Chlamydomonas reinhardtii: one gene and its partner. Each later gene encodes a partner of the first gene's protein in a complex. Links are inferred from orthologs where the notes say so. Each region holds a gene or a part of one and is shown on either strand. Other genes may lie near its edges.

Region 1 (10,006 bases):
ACACTCCGCCGCTTGCAATGCAGCAATGTCGCGACCACGTAAACATCACGAACACTGCGAACGCTAGCACAGTACATTACACCAGTATCACCCCGCTACGACTGCGCCGGCGCTGCCGCCACCGGCTCCAGCGCAATCCGCCGCATGCCCGCCAGCGCCCTGAGCGCCGGCCCGTCCGCCGCCCCCTCCGCCAGCGCACCCCGGCCCAGCTCCGCAAACTCCTCTGGGGCGGCGCCCGCCAGCAGCTGCACCGTCAGCAGGCTGGGCGGCGGTGCCACGTGCAGGGCGCCCATGACGTTGACGAAGTACTCGACGTCCGTGGCCAACTGGCAGCCGCCCTGTGTTGTTGTGGGACACCGTCATGTGTGGGCACGATGTGTGGGCCAGTGGTGGCCAGATGCCGTCAGGTGGCGAGCACGCGTGTGCACGTGCGTACGCGTACATGTATGTCTTTATGTGCTAGCAGCATCCTATGCCCCGACCAAGCAGCCGCGGATCTCCACAAGTTCCCCAACTCTCCCGGCGCATGCGCACCTGTTGCCCCAGATCGCCGATCTTGAATATGGCGTCTGCGTACATGGCCGCCGCGCCGCTGACCGCCTTGTCCAGCCACTCCGCCGCCAGCTCCTCCCACTCGGCCGCGCCGCCGCCGCTGGCGTCTGCGCCGCCCGCCGCAGCCGTCGCCGACGTGTCGTCGCCTGTGTCGCCCATGAGAACCTGTGGGCGGGTTGCGGCAGTGCGGCAGAGTAAGGAACCACGGCATACTGCTGCTCATGGTGTCTAGGTCGGAAAAGCAAATGGGAGTGAACCCAGTCTGCTCTCATTACTGAGCTGTGGCTCCCTTGTGACTCCCCGCCCCGCGGCGTGTTCGCTCCCACCTCCAGCTGCTGCGGCATGGCCATCAGGTGGTCCCCAATGGCGGTGACGTAGGGCAGCGGGTAGGTGTTGAAGGACGGCAGCGGCGCCGCCGGATGCGCCGAGCCCTCCGCACCCTTGCGCCACTCGGGCAGCACCGGCAGCGACGCCAGCAGCGACGCCACACGCGCCAGCAACACATCGAACACCGTGGACTGCAAGCAAGCCAAGGGCAGGGGGCGTCGGACAGCATTCGGAACGAGCGCCAGCTGCCGCGCTTCCCAAGCTCCTGCCGTCTCCGCACCCTCCCTCTTGACAACGGGGGGGGGGCCTAGTCGTTGGGCTCGGGCATGAAGCAGCCACACCCCTTTCGGTCACCCCACTCCACCCGCAGACAGTCCCTGCGACCCCGTCATTACGGCATCGCTTTCCCACCCGCTGGGCCCCATCCCCACCCGCACCTGCACCGTGGCCGAGAAGCTATCCAGCGCCCCCACGCTGCCGGGCAGCACCATAAAGCGCGGGTCACTCAGGCCGGACCCCAGCTTCATCAGCTTGGCCAGTCGCTCGCCGCGGCCCGCCACCAGGCGCAGAGCCACGGGGTCCGCCTCGGCGGCGCCGCTCAGGCCGGCGGCGCCGCCAGAGGGCGCGGAGCTGGAGGCGAAGGGCGTGCCGGAGGCGGCGGCCGCCGCCGCGGCGGCGGCGGCTGGCGCCGCTCCGGACACGAGGGCTTGCAGGCGGGACACGGCGGCGGCGACGGCGGTGCGCAGTGCGGCCTCCAGTCGGCCCACCGCTGCAGACAGCTCGCGGCCGACCTGCAGAGATCCAATCCTTACGAGGTCGAACACTAGAAGGCGTAAAAAGGCGCATTGGTCACGGACAGAGCCACAGAAAGACACGCTGCCGCCGGCTCCTGCCCTCAGCACACTACACGCGGCGTGGCCGCTGCCACCCCTCGCTCGGGGGCACAGAATCCCCCCTCACCTTGATGAGCTGCAGTACGTTGGCGATGTCCTCGCCGTCCTCGGCCGCACTGGCGCCGCCCGCCGCACCGGCAGCAGCGCGCGCCTTGTGCTTCGCGCCCAGACCCGACACCGCCGACTGCCAGGCAGCGGCAAAGTGGGCAAAAAACGTGAGGAGGTGAGATGAGCGCAGGCCGCAGCTCCACCACCTGCCGTGGTGCTGGAGGCCCCCCTGCCGGCTCTGCCGCGTGCTGCCATTGCCTTGCCTGCTTCCCCCTGCCCCCTGCCCCGTGCCGCACCCGCCCTCGCACAACGCGCACCCAATCCAGCCCAGCCCCCACCGCCCCCACCTGCAGTGCCGCCAGGTACGCGGCCAGCTCGCCGTCCACCGCCTTGAGCAGCGCCCGCACCTCACTGCCGCCCGTCAGCGCGTTGCAGCTGCGGGTTCCGGTGGTAGTGGTGGTGGTGACGTGCATGGGGGCCGGCCGGCAGGCATCATCGTGTGTGCGTGTGCAAGCGTGTGCGTGCACTTGTGGAAGCAATAATTGTAGAGCCCGGCCCGCGGCCCAACGAAGCCACATCCAGTCCGGCCATTTGATAGGACACACACGCCCTCAAGCCGACATGCCCAAGCCAGCAGCACACCAGCCGCCGCACCCACACCCACCGCTCCACGGCCGCATGCAGTGCCGCAAAGGCCGGCCGGATGGATGTCGCCAGCCGAGACACCGCGCCCTCTGCCTCGTCACCCGCCGCCGCCGCCGCCGCCGCAGCGGCGGGCGGCAGCGCGGCCCTGAGGTCCGCCGCCAGCTGCGCCGCCTCCAGCTCGCCGTACGCCGCTACCTTGTCCTCAAGCGGCGCGTACACCTGATGTGGTGTGGCGTGGTGTGGTGTGGGGACATGAAGTGTGGAGACTGGAGATTGCGTGTCATGTGGAGCTGGAGCTGAGCTGAAGCTGAAGACATGTCCATTCCCTGAAGCCGCCCAGAAACCCAAAACCCATCACTCTCTTCTGAACCCCCTGCTTTCACTCACCAGCGCAATGACCTCCCTTCGCCGGCCCGTCTCCACGTCTCTCAGCAGCTCATGCAGCGCGCGGCCGAAGCCGCCCACCTCGCGAGCAAAGCCCGCCAGCGGCGCGATGTGCGTCACGGGAGCCAGCCGGTCGCGGGCGGCTTTGCTAATCTGTGGCGGGATAAGGGAGAACGAATGACACAACGGGTCCGATGCCATCGGCGCTATGGCCTTTCTTGCTTTGATCATACAGAGGTTGAGACAGTATTTATGCACGCAGGCACGTCCTCCACCCCGCCACTCCAGTTCACGGCAGCTCGCCGCGCCCCTGCACTCCTGCCTGACCTGCCTCCACCCTCACCCGCCCCCTGCCCGTGTCCTCACTGCCGACCCGCCCCACCTTTGTGAACACCGACAGGCACAGCGCCCCCAGCAACGCCGCCGCCTGGCCCGGCAGCACCGCCGCCGCCCAGCGCGCCTCCGCCTCCAGCAGCGCCAGCAGCCGCGACAGGAAGGTGGCCAGCCAGGAGGCGGCGCCCTCGGGCGCAGCAGCGCCGGCAGCCGCCACCTCCTCCCATAGCGCGTGGACCTGCGGTTGGGTGAGGTCAGGAAGCGCACAACGAAATGTCAGCGATATGGTGACGTACAAAGACAGCGTTGCAGGCGCCCGCTCAAGACCCCCGGCTTTTCTGGCTCGCTGCAAATCCGCCCATTCGCCAGCGCCCGTCCCCAGTCCTTCATGGCCATCTGGCCAGCCTGCACCCACCTTGGCCATCTTGGTGGACACGTACAAGCTCTCAATCGTGCCGTACCTGCCACGACACACACACAACCAGGCGTACGACGTACAGCATTGGCCCACTGCACAGTCACGGGTGAGGACTGCCTGGAGGAGCTGGTACGGCTTCAATCACTGCCTCCGCCAGTCGCCACTCCTAGTCAACCTTCCGCTCCGGAACGCATTCACGCGCTCCGCTCTCCACCAAACGCCGTGCCCAGCGCCGTATCGTTGCAGTCCCAGCGCCCCCTCTGGCTCGCGACTCAATACGGATTCCTCCCTGTGCCGCGCATCCGGCGCCCTCCGTTTCCTCCCCCGCCCGCGCTGCCGCCCCCGCCTTCCGCTGTCGCCCCCACCGCCCCCACCCCGCACCTGTCCACCGCCAGCAGCAGGCCGCACAGCTTGCGCATGGCCTCGTCGTCCGCGCCCCGCGCCAGCGCCTCGCCCAGGCTGCCCTCCACCTGCGTCTGCAGCCGGTCCTCCAGCGCGCGCAGCTTCTGGCGGCCTGCGTAGTCGCGTCGGGGCGGGGCGGGCGGGTCATGAGGCGATTGCCAGGGTGGCAGTGGCACACGGGTATGGCTTGGCGCTTGGTGTTGAAGGTGGGGTAAGAGGTGGTGGGTGGGGAGGTGCGCGGGGGGATGTGTGGAGTCGGGGTGGTGGCGGGGGAAGGCCCCCACTCCTTGGGAGTGTCGCAATGGTGTGTTGGCGCGCAACAGCCAACGCAGCCTGAACAGACCACCTGGCAAATACACGCGCACTGCCGGTCCCCGCCGCACGCTGGCGCCTCACCCGCGCGGAACTCGGGCACGTCGCCCACGAGGCTGAGGCTGCGGCGCATAGACGCCAGGATTTCAGCCACCTTGGGCAAGTCGCCGGCGGCAAAGACCTCCTCCACCTTGACAAACAGCCCCGATAGCTCCGTTGCCTCCTTCAAGGAGTTGCAGGCGTTCTCCATGTTCGCTTTGACCAGGTGCAGCTGCGAGATGTGCTCCACGCTGCCGCGCGCGTCCGTGGCGTCGCGCTGCACGCTCCCTGCCAGCACCTGGACCTGATCCTGCATTCCCTGGATGTCGCCCTGGAGGCGGTAAATCTCCTGGATAGCAAAGGGTATCCGACGCATAGCCTGTGCGCTGTTGTCGCTGAGCGTGGCCTCAATATCCTCCGCGTTTAGCTGCAGGCGCATTTCCAGCTCCGCGAGGAACTTCTCAAGCGGCTCATCCGTTGCTTTGTTATTGCACGCATTGTTAATCCAGGAGATAGGGTCAAAGCCGTCCTCCCCAAATGCTTCGTTGAGGATATCGGCCATTTTGGCGCAGTTGGTCTCCGCACTCCGTGTTGAGTTCTCCTACTTCATGACTAGTACTTGGTGCCGAGGGGGATAGTAAACGAGCGAGGGGTTGGCGAGGGGTAAAACATGTGAGCAGAACTAATTGCTTCGGTTGGGGTCGCATGGGTTCTTCTTCTCTGCAGGTGTCAAACTTACTGCTGTACTTTGTATCATACTTCAGAGACAAGAACTTAGAAGCACTGTGCCTGTATGCCTGCTTTGCGAGTCGTTTCCACAAAACTTCTTTCGCCTGCGTGCAAGAGCATTAATGGACCTTTAAATTTCTACTTGGACAGCATGGCGGCAATCAGTAGCAATGGACTCTACCGCACGCGGACGCACTTCGCCGTGGAGCTGCACCCAAGCACTGTTTCCGACGTGTTGGGCGGCGTCAAGGAGCAGCTAAACGCTCATCTACTTAGGTGTGTGCAGCAAGCTTCAATTTTCCCTCGCAGTGGAGCCGTCGCGCCGCCGAGTCTTGACGTGCAATCGGCGACCTGCTTGCAGATACGTCGACGAGTTCGAGGGAGTGCTTGTGGCCTATTCAAATGTGCAGATTCTCACAAAGCAGGTGCGAACGAGCCGGTCAGCCCAAACTGGTCACCAGCATGCACTGCGTGCGCCGCCCAAAGGCCGCGACGCTGTCAATTAGACTACAAACAGTGCGCATTTCATTCTCGTGCGTGCAGCCTGTCATCCACCCGTACTTCCCCTACTTCCACCTCGACGTGCGGGCGGACGTGCTGCTCTTCAAGCCATCGCCCGGCATGACTCTGGGTAAGGTCGGCACCGGCTGCACCGCTGCGGGCAGGGCACAAGTGGCCAGCACTCGGAAGGAGGCGGGTACCAGCAATGACAGGGTTACAGGCTAGGGGTATGGCGATCGCGCGTCTGTCCATGAGAGACAGCTGCAGGCTCGACGTGTGGGGTTGGGGGCTGGTGGATGCTCCCCGACTTCTCCTCCGCCGGCCTGCCACACGGCCACATGTCTGCCTCCAGACGCCGCAGCCGCCGCCTTCCTGACCCTGCTCCCCCCTCTGCTCCTCCTCCTCCGCCTCCTCTCCTCCTCCTCCTCCTCCCCTGCCCGCCTCCCCTTCGCAGTGGCTCGTGTGAACCACCTGGGCGAGGACTACATCAGCGCCCTGGCCCTGGGCGTGTTCAACGTCACCATACCCACACGGGCCGTCATGCCGGAGCTGCACTTCCTCCGAGAGGTGGGGCGGCGCGGGTGTGGTTAGGTTGAGGGGCAGGAAGGGCAGGGAGAGTAGGGGCGGCAGGGAGGGCAGGGAGGGCAGGAAGAGCGGGGCACGAGCATTACGTCACAAGGTGTGAGGAGTTCGGGGCGTGGGCTTGCGACTTCGCGGCACAGGTGTGGGGAACACTGCAGGTGGGAGGCTGCATGAACATGGTGTGAGGGGGGCGCGGGGCGGGGGCTCCTCGGGCTCAGGCGGGGCTGCGGGAGGCCGGCAAGGTAGCAAGCAGGCAGGTGACAGCTGCAGCACGTCAGTTGCCCAGGCGCCATGCAGAGACGGGGAGGCCCCGGTGGGGCGCGTCATAAGTCATGACGGTGTCATCCGCACCTGTGTGTGGCGCGCGCAGGAAAACAAGTGGATTCACAAGGTCACGCCGCAGCACCAGATCCACGAGCACAGCTACATCGTGTTCCGAGTGGAGGAGTGAGTGGCGGCGGCGCGGGGGGCAATGGGGCATGCGGCGTGGGGTGGCCGAAGGGGGTGGTGGGCAGGAGGTCAGGCATGCAAGCAGCAGGCAGCATGCCACTTGCACCCGTCTGTGGCGTGTCGGGTGCAGCTGGCAGACCTCAGAAGGGCATGCGTGATGACCCGGGAGTCCGACTCGTAACAATTAGTCCGGCCTCTCCAACCCCGACATGGCTATCCCAACCTGCGCCTCCCCTCTGCCGCCTTCTTCTCTCCTCTCCGCCCCCAGTGTCAAGGACAACGGCGGCTTCTTCCAGATCAGCGGCTCCATGCGGGAGCCCGCCACCGGCGCCGCGGACTTCCTGCACCCGGGCGTGCAGCTGCCGGAGCCGCCGGCGGGGTGGCCGGGTGAGTGGGACGGGGCGGAGGGGCCACAGGGGGTGCAGGGGAGGACTGGAGGGCAGGACTGGTGAGGCTGAAGGGGTTCGTTTGCGCACCAGCGTGAAGCTGCGGTGGTGGCTGCGCCAATCGCCGGGCGCCAAACATGACACGTCTCGCTGAAGCTCCCGCTTTCCCTGACACAACCCCTGCAGCAGACCCGGTTGCCTCTCCACGCGAGGACGAGGACGGGGATGTGGTCATGGGTGGCGAGGGCGCGACGCCGTCGGGGCGGGGGCTGGCGGCGCTAGCTGCCGCTACTGCAGCGGTGGCGGCAGCAAATGGCAAGCCGGCACATGGGAGCAAGGAGAGGCACGGCAAGGAGGGGAAAGACGGAAAGGGCAGCAAGCGGGAACACGGGGCGGATGGCGAGGCTGCGGCGAAAAAGCGGAGAAAGACGGACGCGGGCGCAGTCCCGGTTGGGGAGGCGACGCCAGGAGCCGCGGCGGCGCCGGCTGCGGCAGCAGTAGCAGCAACGGCCGCAGCAACACCAGCGGCAGCGGCAGCCGGGCCAGACTCGACGAAGGAAAAGAAGGACAAGAGCGAAAAGAAGAAGGAGAAGGAGGAGAAGAAGGAGAGGGAGGAGAAAAAGAAGGAGAAGGCGGCCAAGAAAAAGGAAAAGGAGGAGAAGAAGAAGGGCAAGGCGGTGGCGCCGGCGCTGTCTGCGCCGCCGCAAGTCGGTGCGGCGACAGCAGCCGGAGCTGTGCCGTCAGCGGCGGGGCCCGCGCACACCACCGGGGCGGTGGCGAACGGCGGTGCGGTGACCGCGGCGACGCCACAGATAGCCACCGCAAACGGTGTGACGCCCGTGGCAGACGCGTCTAAGAAGAAGGACAAGAAGGATAAGAAGGAAAAGAGCGGAAAGAAGGAGAAGAAGGAGAAGTCCAGTAGGAAGGAGAAGAAGACGGCAAGCGGGTAGCGTCTGTTACTTGAGGACGGTCCACTTGACGTGGTGGGGTTCGAGGCGATGCTGTAATCATGAGGGCTCATTGCGTTAGTTAGGCATTTGACCATTGCCCCCAGAAAGGCACAGCGGGCGTGTGGGGAGCCACTTCTGTGCATGCCGTATGCTGCAGGGACGGCATAGGCAGGCATGCGGCACAGGTGCATTGTCGTGCGGTGTAGCATGACGGGACCTGGTGGTGGACTAGACTAACAAGACGGGACTTGATTACACGGGACTTGACACACGTGTGGTGCTTCCGACATGTGCGGCTTACGATGGCGGTTGTGGGACACCGACCGCGTGTGACAAGCGCTTACGGATAGCTGGAGCGAGACGAACAGGCAGACGCAGGATGTGTGCAGCAGTGAGATGTGTGACCTCTGGGTAGGTGTGACCTGAGCCCAGCTCACTTCTTGGGCAGGCCGGCAACAACGAACGCGGCATGCGCTGTGCCGCAGTTGATGCAGCTGGCAAGGTGCCACACCCCACCACAGCAGCGGTGACGGGCGTTGGGTGTCATGTGTGGAAGCTCAGGATGTGCGCGTCATAATGTGTTTGGTGCGATGCAGCGGATACGGCACGCAGGGTGTGTTTGAATGGGTATGTATCGGTTGGGGTGAGGAGTCAGGAACCTCAGCTGGGTGACTGGGTGAGCACCATGGCGAACATCTCAATTCTCGAGCCACGCCGGCCACGCACGCAACTTTGTACAACGCAAGCAGGACGCAAGCTTGCCACCGTCGATTCGTCATGTTGTGACTCGCCCAGCCAGGTGCTAGCTACTGTGCATACGGCTTTTCACACTGGCAAGCACTGGCCATACTGTCAGTCTGTCACGCCATATACGGCGAGTTCGCGTGCCCCGCGGGTTCTGTACCAGTAAACGCTTTTGTAGCATGAGACTGCGGCAGTCACGTATTGCGATAGGTCTGGATAGTTAATCGCTGGCTACCGTCCCCTCCTTTCCGAGCATTAATGAGGCACATCTGTATTGCCCCCGGGGGAGACGCCAACATAAGGGCGGGGGGGCGGTGTAGGTGGATGTGGGAGGCGCACTCGCATGCATCAGGTGCACGCGGCAACGCTACGTGTGCCAGCACGCGTGTACATTCCGAGTCCGTTGTCTCTCCGTCCTTACGCGGGCAACGGGCACCCCGGCGGCGGCCGAGGCCGGGGCGGCCGCGGCGGCGGCCGCGGCAGCGGGCGTGAGTGGCACGATGACCGCCGTAGAGGCCACCGCTGCGGCGGGCGTGGAGCCGGCCTCGCCGCCGGCCGCGCCGGTGTCAACGGCGGGCTTGGGTGGCATCGTGGGCCCGGCGGTCCTGCCCGCGGGGTGGAGCAGCGACGGTGGTGTGGGTGATGAGGGCCTGGCGGGCGGCGTCGGGCAGGGGCTGCTGGGGGATGCGGAGACAGCGCCGGATGTCAACGCGAAGCTGCTGTGTCAGGGCCGGCGGGGCGGTCCTGGCGACTTCATGGACGTTAGCTCGGTCGCCCCGCCCGGGGGCAGGCAGCAGTAATGCGGCGGCCGAAGCAGGCCGCTCCGGGGCCCCGGCCCTTGCGGGTGGGGTCGCATAACGTGCGGGGGCTGCGGAAGCGGGTGCCCCACCTGGGGTGCTCGCGCCTGCACGCCCTGCTGAGCTGCTGGGAGCGGCAGCACCTGGATGTGGTGTGTCTCCAAGAGACGCACGTTCTTGACTCGGACATTGACCTTGTCACGGCGGACCTGGCGGCAGCCGCTCAGCGGCTGCATGCACGCGAGTGGACGGCGTGGTGGGCGCCGGCCCAGAAGCCGGAGGGCCGTCGTGTTACTGGCGGCACGGCCATCCTCATTCGGTCGAGCCTTCTGCAGCAAGGCGCCATGGTGCTCCCTGGCGGCGCAGCTGCCGTGTCGGTGGCGGACGGCGCGTGGGCGGGCCGCGGTGTTAGTTTGCAGTTGCAGTGGGGTGGCCACACCTTCACGCTGACGTCAGCCTACTTTCCCCTGGCATCCACAGCACAGCAGGCTTTCATTCGTGAGTGGGTGGGCCT
Region 2 (9,853 bases), on another chromosome or scaffold:
CCGCATCTTCCACTGCCTACCGCTCCCCTTCCCTGCCTCCACCAAACCAAATTCCGCACCCACGTACACGCACTTCGTCACCTCTAGGCTCTAGCCCCGCCACACAGCCACCCGTCTGCTGGTCATCGTCACGCCGCGTCCACGGCTGCACACATGCGCTTCATCACCGCCAGCGCCTCCGCCGCCTCAGCGCCGTCCTCGCCCGCCGCCGTGGACACCGCGGCGGCGGAGGGCGCGGCCGCCAGCGCGGCGCCGATGGAGCGCAGGCACTCCTCGCTGGTGTGGGAGTCCAGCCACAGCGAGTACTGCAGCGGCGTCAGGCCGGAGCGCTGGTGCGGCGCCTGCACGTTGGCGGGGAGCCTGCAGGGAGCGGGTGGGTGCGGGTGGGTGGCAGGGTGGGTACGGGGGCTGGCAGGGTGCGTCAAGGACGGGCGTAAGGACTGAGGAGGGCCAGACGGGGGCTGGAGGGGCAGCCAAGAACCAGGTGGCCGTCAAAGCCAGCAGTACACTGACCCGTGCGACAACGCCCATTCCTTTGCGCACTTGCGACCCACAGCCGTCGTGCAAGCCCGCAGGTCTCGCACCTGGAGAACAGGTGGTGCAGCGTGACCGCGGGCGGCAGCTCGCCCAGCAGTGGGTTGGCGGCGATGCCGGACGCGGGCGTGAACAGCAGCGCGCGGAAGGCCTTGACGGCGCGGTACGGCTGCCCCAGCTGCTCCAGCGGGTGCAGCTGCTGCCCCACTGCCGCCTGCAGCTCCGCCAGGTCCTTGGCAACCTGCGTATGCGTGCGTGCGAGGTGTGGGTGCGTGCGGGCGAGGTGAGGCGTGGCAGAAGGACCGTGAAAGGCAGCATGCGCTGTCGCGCGCCTTTGGCTTGTTTGGCACCGTAATGGATGGGGCAACAGATTAGCCGCTCTAGTTCCAACTGATGCCAAGCATGCGCCAGGAATACTGCGCCTGCAGCCTCTGCATGCTCATCGGCGGCTGCAATTCTTTCAAGCAGTCAAAGGCCTTCCGCTGGTTTCGCATGTTATGATGACCAATGGTGCTACACGTACGCGTACGCTACCTCACCAGCAGCTTGCCGGCCTGCGACAGCGGCCGCAGCAGCGCCGCGTGCCGGACGAAGAACACCAGCAGGCGGCACGCCATGCGCTCCACCAGGCTGCCCACACAGCTGGGCATGCTTGGCGAGGGCGGCGGCACGAAGCGCGACAGGAACTCCGACCTGCACGCACGACAGGTGCGGGGCGGTGTTGACGCGCGACAAACATCAAGGTGGTGGGTGATGATCTTAGTGCCACACAACCGCAGGCGGCAGGCTACCTGTTTCCTCTCGTGTAAACCCGCGCCGTCCATGCTTATACCACTTACCGAAGCATGGCCAGCAACACCCCCAAGCAGTTTCCTACAACGCCTCTCCCTCACCTGAAGTCTCCAAGCAGGGCCGCCGCCTCCGCCACGTGCGGCGAGGTGGACGTCACGTCGCCGCTGTCGCCCGCGCCGCCGTACCCGGGCCACTCGTGCATGCGCAGCAGCCGCTCCTCGCACGCCTCCACCACCGCCCGGAAGATTGGCGCCACGCAGTCCACCGCCGCCGCCTGGACCGCGCCCAGCGCGCCGCCCAGCGCCGGCGCCGCCGTCGGCGGCAGCCGCGCCAGCAGCGTCGACAGCGAGCGGTGCGTCTCCTGCAGCTGCGAGCACAGCGCGATGTTGCGCAGCTGGGAGGCGTTTGGCGACACGGGGCCGTAGGCTGCGGCGCCGCCTCCCGGCGCCAGCTGGCGCAGCTCGGGCCCGGAGGCGGCCGAGTACTCGGCGCGCTCGGCCAGCAGCGCCAGCGCCTTGGCGGCCGTGGCGGCCATCATGGCGGCCAGCTGCGGCGACGAGGCGCCCACCTTGAGCTCCTCGTGCATCAGCCTGTGGGGAGGAGGGGGAGATATATGGGGTTGTAGATACCAGATCAAACTAAAACCGAACCCAATGCAAAAGGGGGGAGGAGGGGGTAACATGCCCGAGCCACACAACTACGATAGGTCCCAATGGTCAAGGGGGGAGCCGTAGGGACAGCGGGGACTGCGGGGAAGCGGAGGGGACGGCAGCATGCGATATGGCGCGTGTGGTGGGAGCGTGACGCCAGGCAGAGTATTGGTGCAGTACCCAATGTTAAAGTCGGCGCCCTGCGTTCGGTCATGCCCCGAAGCCCGAGCCTTGCACGCACCCGATGCACTTCTGCACCTCTGTCGCGGACGGCAGCTGGCGGCTGCTGCCGGGGAAGGCGGCGGCCACGGCGTCAGTGAGCCGCGACAGGCACCCAGCCATGTAGGCGGTCTGGAAGGGGCTGGTGGCGGCCAGTAGCTGCTGCAGCTGCGCCGGGCCCACAGCCGGCAGCACGCCCTGCGGCATAGGTGGCGGGCGAGGGCGAGGGCGCCGGTGACCACAAGGGGGAAGCTAGGTCACTGTGTGTGCTACTTGCTAACCGCGCGATGGGCCCGGCCTGGCAGCGTGTTATTCGATTATCATCTCTCATCACCTCCTTACACACTCACCCTTGCCCTTGCCCGCGTCCCGTCCGCGCAACAGCCATCACCCTCCCCCTACCACCACCGCCACGGCGCCACCCACCTTGATGGTGGTCTCGGCGGTCAGGCGCTCAAACATGGTCTCAATGAGGCCCGCCAGGCGCGTGTAGGCGGCCGTGAGCGTGTCGCGCACGAAGCCGCCCTTGCCCGGCTTGGCCACACTGGCGAAGGCGTCCGTGGTGGCGCGCACCACGTCAGACCTGCAGGGTGGAGCGGGTGTGGCGGGCGCCGAGGCCACACGTCGGGACAGCCGGGGAGCGGCAACATTCGCGTCGTGGCGAAGCTGCCAGGCCACATGACAGGATGGCACCGGCCCAGCCGTAGCCCCCGCGCTGGGTGCGGTGGGCAACGCCCGTCCGTACTGCAAGTCGCATCCCTCTCCCGTACACACACCAGCTGCGCGCCCGCCTGGCCCACATCCAACAGCGCGCCCGCCTGGCCCACATCCAACAGCTGACACAATAACCCCTGGGCACGACGCGGCCCGCTCTCCCTCCCTCCCCCTCCCCCTCTCCCTCCCCCTCCCCCTCTCCCCACTCCCGCACCCACCAGAAGCGCGCCACCAGCAGCGGCTCGCCCGGTCCCACCAGCACGTCCAGGAAGCACACGTGCGACAGCGGGTCGCGCTTCTTGGCCACCACGCGCTGCAGGTGCCACACCGCCACAGTGCTGGAGCTGATCTGCTCCAGCACGTCGCGCAGGGCCTGAGCAGGGCGGCGGGAGGCGGGCCGGGTGGGGGGGGGGTGTAGATGCCAGCCCAAACTAAACCGAACCCAATGTGGGGGTGGGCGGGTTGGACTAACTTGTTATTGTGGGCGAGTGCCGAGTACTACGTGTGGGCTGGACACAGGTTTTGGTGATGCCAGCACGTAAGAGGCGGGTCGTGTTGCTCATGGGTACGCACACAGGTGACGAGGCGCAGTAGCGAGGACGCAGCGTGCCGGCGCTGGCAAACGGCTGTGACGCCGCAGCCGTGTGAGGTGAGGAGCACCGCACGCACCTGCCACATGCGGTCCTGCGCGCCCGGCGCCGCCTGGCCTGGCCGCCCGCCCGCCGCCGCCCCCGGCGCGGCTGCCCCCGGCGCGGCCGCCTGTGCCGCCAGGTGTCGGCTGTCCAGCGCGTTGCGCAGCGCCTTCTCGATGTCGTGCAGGTGCCGCGACAGCAGCCCGTTCACCGCCTGCGTGAGACGCCGCAGTCGCAGCCATGTAGGGGTTAGGATCAGGGCAAGACACCGCATGCAGTGCAGTCGTTGCGGTGCGGTTGCTGGCCGAGGCGTTTGGTGCCGACACCTATGCGCTCATCATGAGCGGCGCTTGGTCAAGCCCAACCCTCTGGCTTGCGCCCGACCCTTGGCACCAACCTAAGCACCTTCCGAACGCGCGTGCCCCAGCCAGCGGCCCGGCCGCGCAACCCCGGCAATCCTTCCTCAGTCGCTGCTTGCCGTGCGGCAGCAGGAGCAGGAGCAGCAGCAGCTGCTGGCGGCGGCGGCGGCGGCGCTGTTCCCTCACCTGCTGCAGCTCCTCCAGGTTGAATATGACCTGCAGCGCCGAGCCCACCTTGGCCTGGCTCAGAGACTCCACGCCCTCCACCAGCGCGGCCTGTGTGGGGCGGGGATTGGCATGGGTGGTTGTCGGGCCAGTCAGTGTGCAGCGCCCACCGCCCACCCAAGCGCGGCAGAGCGAAATGCGCATCCCAAGCATCTTTCATTTGACGTGATGCGGGCATGTACGCCGCCCAGGCAAGGTAAGAAGGTGTTTGGGTGGTAACACGGCGTGCAGCGCGTGCTGTGCGTCCAGGCCATGCAGTCCCTCCCAACACCCTTGTTAGTGCCCACCTCCGCCTGCTCCTGCACGGACTTGCGGGCCGACTCCAGAAACTCCGCATCTGCGGCCACAGCCTCGATGGCGGAGAGGTCCACCTCGGCGTCCACGTGCCGAATGTCCGTTATGAGCTTGGCTGCCTTCGCAAGGTCCAGCTGCGCTGCTGGCACCGCGAGCTGAGCCCGCAACTTCTGTGCAAGCTTCAGGCGGTGGATAACGTGCCGTAGGATGTCCACGGTGGCGTGGATGTTGCGCAGCTGCTGCGTCTTGTGTTTGATCTGCTCATAGGGCCCCACCACCTCAGCGCGGATGCGCCGAACAGCGCTCTGTAAGGACTCCACTGAAAGCACCACATCCCGGACCGAGTTTTCTGCGTCCAGCATACGCCGGACGTGATGCAGGAGCTCCTTGTTCCGCGCGACCACCTCGTCGGACAGCGCGGACTCCAACTGGTGCACTCCATCGCGCAGCTGCTCCGATTGAGCTGACGCTGTTGTATGCGAGCCACCAAGAACCTTAGAGGTGAACTCTGCTACGTTGAAATTGTTGTCTAGGAAGGGCTGGAAGCGGGGCAACTGCAGCAAGTCGCTGCCCCCACTAGTGCTAGGACCCGCATGGTTGTCATCGGTGCTATCACCGCCTTTGCCCATCGCGTCAATTGCGAGAGGTTCTGGTGCAGAGCTTTGTCAATTTGTGCGCAACATATCTTCGTGTTCAAGGCCAGGCCTGCGAGTCAAGCTTCAACCAGCTCCTTGTATATTAGTATAGCATAGATTAGCAGGCTGGCACAGCGGGTGAAGCGGGGCTGAACTTCAAGCACGTACCAGCGCACCCCTCAGATTGGACCGCCGACGGCCCCCTCCGCCAAGCTCGCCACCCGCGTGTCGGCGCACGGCTTCCAGCATATACCGTACTTGCTAGTCAGCTGTAGTGCTAAGCCAAGCGCTCGTATCCTGGATGCACGACGCGGACGTCCGCTGACGCGCGCACGGCGCCGCACGTCCGCCGGAACAGGCCGCTAGTGGCCTTGGATGCTCACCCAGTCCTATCCCCTTTCCCTGCTCATGCTCGCGGTCGTAGGATGCACGGCACCAGTGTACCTGCACGCAGCTGTCCGCAACTCTGCACCGATGTGGATGTGCGGAGTTCCCGACTCGGCCTGTCGGACGGTTGTGCCTCCCACCTCGAGGATCCCACACGCTGCTCTGGCCCAATCCCGCCGCCGCCACCAGGTGGCTGCCCCTGTGGGGGCCACGGCTGGGGCCCAGAGCCCTAGAGCTCCCTACAAGCTGGTGAGCGGATTGCAGATTTGCAGCTGTTACTTAATCTCCTGGATTGTAGATTTGTAGTTGCGCCGCGCAGGGGGTGTCCTGGCGCTGCACCATGAAAATGCATCGTATTGAGTCGTCTTCACAGCCTGTCTTGGGCTTACGTTCCGTAGGCACGCCTAGCCAAGCCTGCTGTATCAAGATTGTATACGGTGACAGAACCTGATAGCCAGTGTCCACCGGCAGCCTGCACCCAAGACGCCTCTTCTAGACATACAGAGCGCCAGAGCTCGAGTGTCTGCCACACGCACAACCCGCTTACGGCATTGCACTAATGCCGACGTCCCCAGGCTCCGTCACCTACAGATCATTACGCGCCGAGCGGACATGCCGCATGGCGTGCGCATTGTCAGTGAGTAGCTCTGCCGCTGCCGCTCCAATTGCTGCTCCCACGCAATGCCCAGTCACCACAAGGAACGACCCGCACCACAGGAGGGAGCCCGCCTGGCTGTGGCCGCACACGAGCCGGCTAAAAACGACCTGTATGCCTGGGCACCACGCAACTCCCACGCACCATGCAAAACAGCATTGACCGCGTCCGCAAGCGTCGGGTCGCCTGCACCGCTGGAGCCCCGGCCCCCACTGAATCCTATCATCCACACTTGCCGCGCCGTAACTTTGTTTCGCACCTTCCCGAAGTCCTAAACTGGGACCATAATCTGCAAACTCGCTCAAAGGTGCACGCAATCACGACAACAGCGCTGCCACACACCAGCATCCGCAATGAGGGCGATGCCAGGTTCGGTATGTTTCCGTGCATGCAAAGTATGCTGATAGTGATGACCCCGCCGTTGCGCTTCGCCCATGCGCAAGTGCTGATGAACCGCGCTGCCAACCATCACCGTTTGACTGTTGTAGTCAAACACCCGGCATAATCCCAAAATGTCTAACGCATGGTAGCAGTGCGCCCCCGCATGCCTGTACACACCGTGCCCACCTGTGCGCATACTTAACTGTCACGATCTCGGGCGAAAATTATATGACGTCCTGGCTTGGGGTACCGTGAAGCGCACCTCTTAGTGCAAGTCGTGACACACACCAGTCCCCCTGCACCCCAGTCCGCTCACTCCTCGCACGCCGCCTGCGCCTTGGCCGCCTGCTCGTAGTAGCGCTGCGCCAGCTTGCCTTTCCCGGCCTCGCTGGCGGCCTCGGCGGCGGCCTCCAGCAGCTCCGCCGCCTTGGCGGGATCGGGTGCCAGGCCCTCGCCGCCCGACAGCAGCAGGCTGCCGTAGCTGAACAGGATCTCGTACCTGCAAGGAGGCAAGAGCAAAGAGACTAACTAGACTATGCGAAGACGACGAGCATGAGCACGAGAAGCAGCGGGGGCGGGGCGGAGAAGGACGGTGCGGTGCCCGGGTGCTACGGAAAACGCCGCGCGCCACGGGGCCGCGCCCAAACATCCACGTACTCCAGCGCAGCGCCGCCAGCACCCCCAGCACCCTAGATCGGTTCAACGTTAACCCCAGCCCCCCAGCACCCCGCCCCAGCCCCCCAGCACCCCGCCCCAGCCCCCCAGCACCCCAGCACCCCCCAGCACCCAGCACGCCACCCACTTGGCGGCGCTGGCCCCCGGCAGCGCGGCCGCCTCCTCCTCCGCCTGCAGCTTGCAGCGGTGCAGGAAGGCCTTGCTGGGCCGCAGCTCCTCGATCTTGGGCACCCGCAGTGCGGACAGGTTCACAGTGCTGCCGGCGGACCCCAGCATGGGCAGGTCGGGCAGCATGCCTGCACGAGCCAGCGAGCGTGGGGGCGTGGGCGCGAGCGGTGTTCTTCAAGTCAGATAGGCCGTGGCGGTGCACTGCCGTGCACAGGGAAGGTCGCATACAGGTTGCACGGGCTGGCCAGTTCGGCGACCGTTCGACCGCACACTGGCAGGAATGATGCAGAAGCGCGACCGCGCACGGTAGCAGCGACAACCCCTGGTGAGACCGCCTAACCCACCTGCATCGCTGTCCCGGTCGCTGGCAGCGCGCATGACCGACATCTCGAACTGCGGCTCCTGGGGTGGACAGAGTTGGGTTGCATGGTTGGAAACCAGTCGAAAAGGTGGAGCAAGGACACAAGGGCGGAAACCGCGGCCGGTCAGCGACACGCACATCAGGCCATCAGCACGGCCCCAGGCAGAGTGCACCTTCCACTGCCACCGCCCCGCCCACCGGCTGACCGGCTGCACCAGCCGCACACCAGCCCGCTGCCCCAACACACCACTCACGTCGTCGCTCTCCGCCTTCCCACTGCGCCGCTCGCTACCGTCCTCCGCGTCCTCCTCATCGTCCTCCTCCTCCTCATCGGCCTCGCGGATGACATCGTCGCCTCCGCCGCCCGCCTCCGCCGCCGCCTCCTCCGCCTCCGCCGCCGCCAGCAGGTCGGGCAGCGCCAGGGCCGCCGCATACCACCGCGCCGCCTGAGGGAAAGGGGTGCAAGATCCAGGTCTCATGGGGATGGTGAAATACCGTAGATCTCCCCCCCCCACAGACATCATCCTGCGCCACGTAGCCCGCCCCCGCCCCCGCCCGCCGCACCTGCGCCGGCTGCCCCAGTCCGTCCAGCACCTCTTCCCCGAACAGGCCGCTGCCGGAGGCGTAGGCGCTCGCAGCCGCCAGCGCCGCGCCGCGCACGCCCCGCTCTGCCGCCAGCAGCGTGCAGCGCCAGGCCACACGCACGTGCGCCTGGAACAGCCGCTGCTTGGTGCCCACCTGCGTCATGGTTGTGGAATGGTGGGGGGAGGGCGGCTCGACGACGACGGCGGCGGCGGCGGCGGCCAGCAGTTCGTTGGGGTGCCATGGCGCACGGCGCGCAACCAACCGACGTGGCGCAGGCGCGGCCGCAGCGCCAAGGCTGTTCACATGCACACTAGCATCGCACCCGACACCAGGTGGTGGTGGGAAACAACGCCTTCCCCCCAACAGATCCCCTAACCCGCACCTTAAACACTTGCGCAAACTGCGGCGCGGTGGCGTCAATGCCGCAGTGCGCTCGCGCCAGCACCAGCAGCGCCAACACGCAGCCGCCCTGGGCCGCAGCATTCAAATGGAACAGCCCGCCGCGCAGAGCGTCCTGGGGAGCGGGAGCAGGGAGGCAGGCAGGGCGGGGGAGGAGCGGCTTGTTGTGGGCGGGGCCTAGGGCGCGGGCGTGCTTGAATGGGCAGGGCACAGGGAGATGACGACGTAAACTACCGACCGGTCCGCTACAGCAGTCGGGCTGCTGGGGGGAAGCCAACTGCAGCCCTCACACCGCCACTCACATTCGCACATGCACGTGCGATGCGATTGCCATGCGCGGCTTCCCTAGATTCGCGCACACGCTGTCTTTGCGCTTTGTATTCCTCTGCTCTTTTACACACATGAGGGGCCACACAAGCCGGCGCGCCGGTGCGGTGAGTGGCTCACGTCTGGGTCCTCGTTGGGCCTGAGGTCGGGCAGGAGCACCACCTCGCCGTACAGCTTGGCGATCTCCAGGTGGACCAGGGACTCGGGCGTCTCCCCTGTAACAGGGGGAGGGTTACACTCATGAGTAATTAAGAATCGAAGGCGTAGCCAGGAAAAGTATTATAGCAGACGCGGGGAGGGTTACGTTCACAATATTAATCAAGAAGCAGCGAGGGGAGGGAGGATGGAGGAGTTGGAGTGGGAAACCAGGTGGGGGGAGGAAGGGAATGCAGCAGTACTCGATGATGAGGGCGAGCGGGGTTGGTAGGGGCTGGCGCTCGCTCCCAGCCCAGCACGCGGCACGGCGGCACTCACTGGGGACCTCCTTCAGAGCCGCCAGACACGCCTCCTCCGCACACGCCGCCTCGGGCTGCTGCTGCCGCTTCTTCTTGGCAGCAGCCATGCGCTTCTGAAGGACGAGGGCAGACACACACAGCAGGAGAAAGCGGATACGTACGGAAGCCGGGTTGGGGGTCCTTGGTTGAGGCAGCTTGCCCGCGCAGCCCAGAGCGAATTCAGTCATGTAGGAGGTCCTGTGCACCGCCGGCTCCAAGCCTGTGCTCTTTACCTACTCATTCCCGCAGCTCCTACCACACACACGCATACTTCATCCAGCTCAATCCCATGCATCACATGCCTGCGCACCCGGTAGCTGCTGGACCGCGCCATGGTGCGGGCGGCGGTGGCAGGCGCGGGGGTGGA

The links.
Region 2: CHLRE_02g086700v5 (region 1) and CHLRE_17g721900v5 share a complex: the UniProt entries of both Arabidopsis thaliana proteins name them as parts of the conserved oligomeric Golgi complex. The link is inferred for Chlamydomonas reinhardtii from reciprocal best matches to the Arabidopsis thaliana genes EYE and AT1G67930.

Annotation. Positions count from the first base shown.
Region 1 is NC_057005.1:1,774,480-1,784,485, forward strand, and holds the start of CHLRE_02g086700v5 (uncharacterized protein), read right to left. Parts: upstream 5,004-10,006; 5' UTR 4,916-5,003; coding exon 4,399-4,915; intron 4,115-4,398; coding exon 3,982-4,114; intron 3,644-3,981; coding exon 3,598-3,643; intron 3,421-3,597; coding exon 3,232-3,420; intron 3,003-3,231; coding exon 2,853-3,002; intron 2,685-2,852; coding exon 2,485-2,684; intron 2,256-2,484; coding exon 2,168-2,255; intron 1,957-2,167; coding exon 1,840-1,956; intron 1,671-1,839; coding exon 1,317-1,670; intron 1,071-1,316; coding exon 879-1,070; intron 718-878; coding exon 535-717; intron 339-534; coding exon 96-338; 3' UTR 1-95. Other genes in the region: CHLRE_02g086750v5 (uncharacterized protein), read left to right, coding at 5,234-5,358, 5,444-5,507, 5,626-5,713, 6,038-6,150, 6,536-6,612, 6,884-7,002, 7,188-7,951. UniProt on the Arabidopsis thaliana protein: Required for normal Golgi function. Necessary for embryo development and pigmentation, especially for the expansion of cells and organs, and for the formation of the organized shoot apical meristem (SAM).
Region 2 is NC_057020.1:3,173,949-3,183,801, reverse strand, and holds the start of CHLRE_17g721900v5 (uncharacterized protein), read right to left. Parts: upstream 5,165-9,853; 5' UTR 5,049-5,164; coding exon 4,413-5,048; intron 4,177-4,412; coding exon 4,087-4,176; intron 3,756-4,086; coding exon 3,579-3,755; intron 3,283-3,578; coding exon 3,128-3,282; intron 2,779-3,127; coding exon 2,622-2,778; intron 2,394-2,621; coding exon 2,218-2,393; intron 1,917-2,217; coding exon 1,428-1,916; intron 1,228-1,427; coding exon 1,074-1,227; intron 776-1,073; coding exon 585-775; intron 361-584; coding exon 129-360; 3' UTR 1-128. Other genes in the region: CHLRE_17g721850v5 (uncharacterized protein), read right to left, coding at 6,790-6,976, 7,280-7,448, 7,665-7,722, 7,936-8,127, 8,246-8,419, 8,649-8,780, 9,113-9,207, 9,467-9,560 and 1 more. UniProt on the Arabidopsis thaliana protein: Required for normal Golgi function.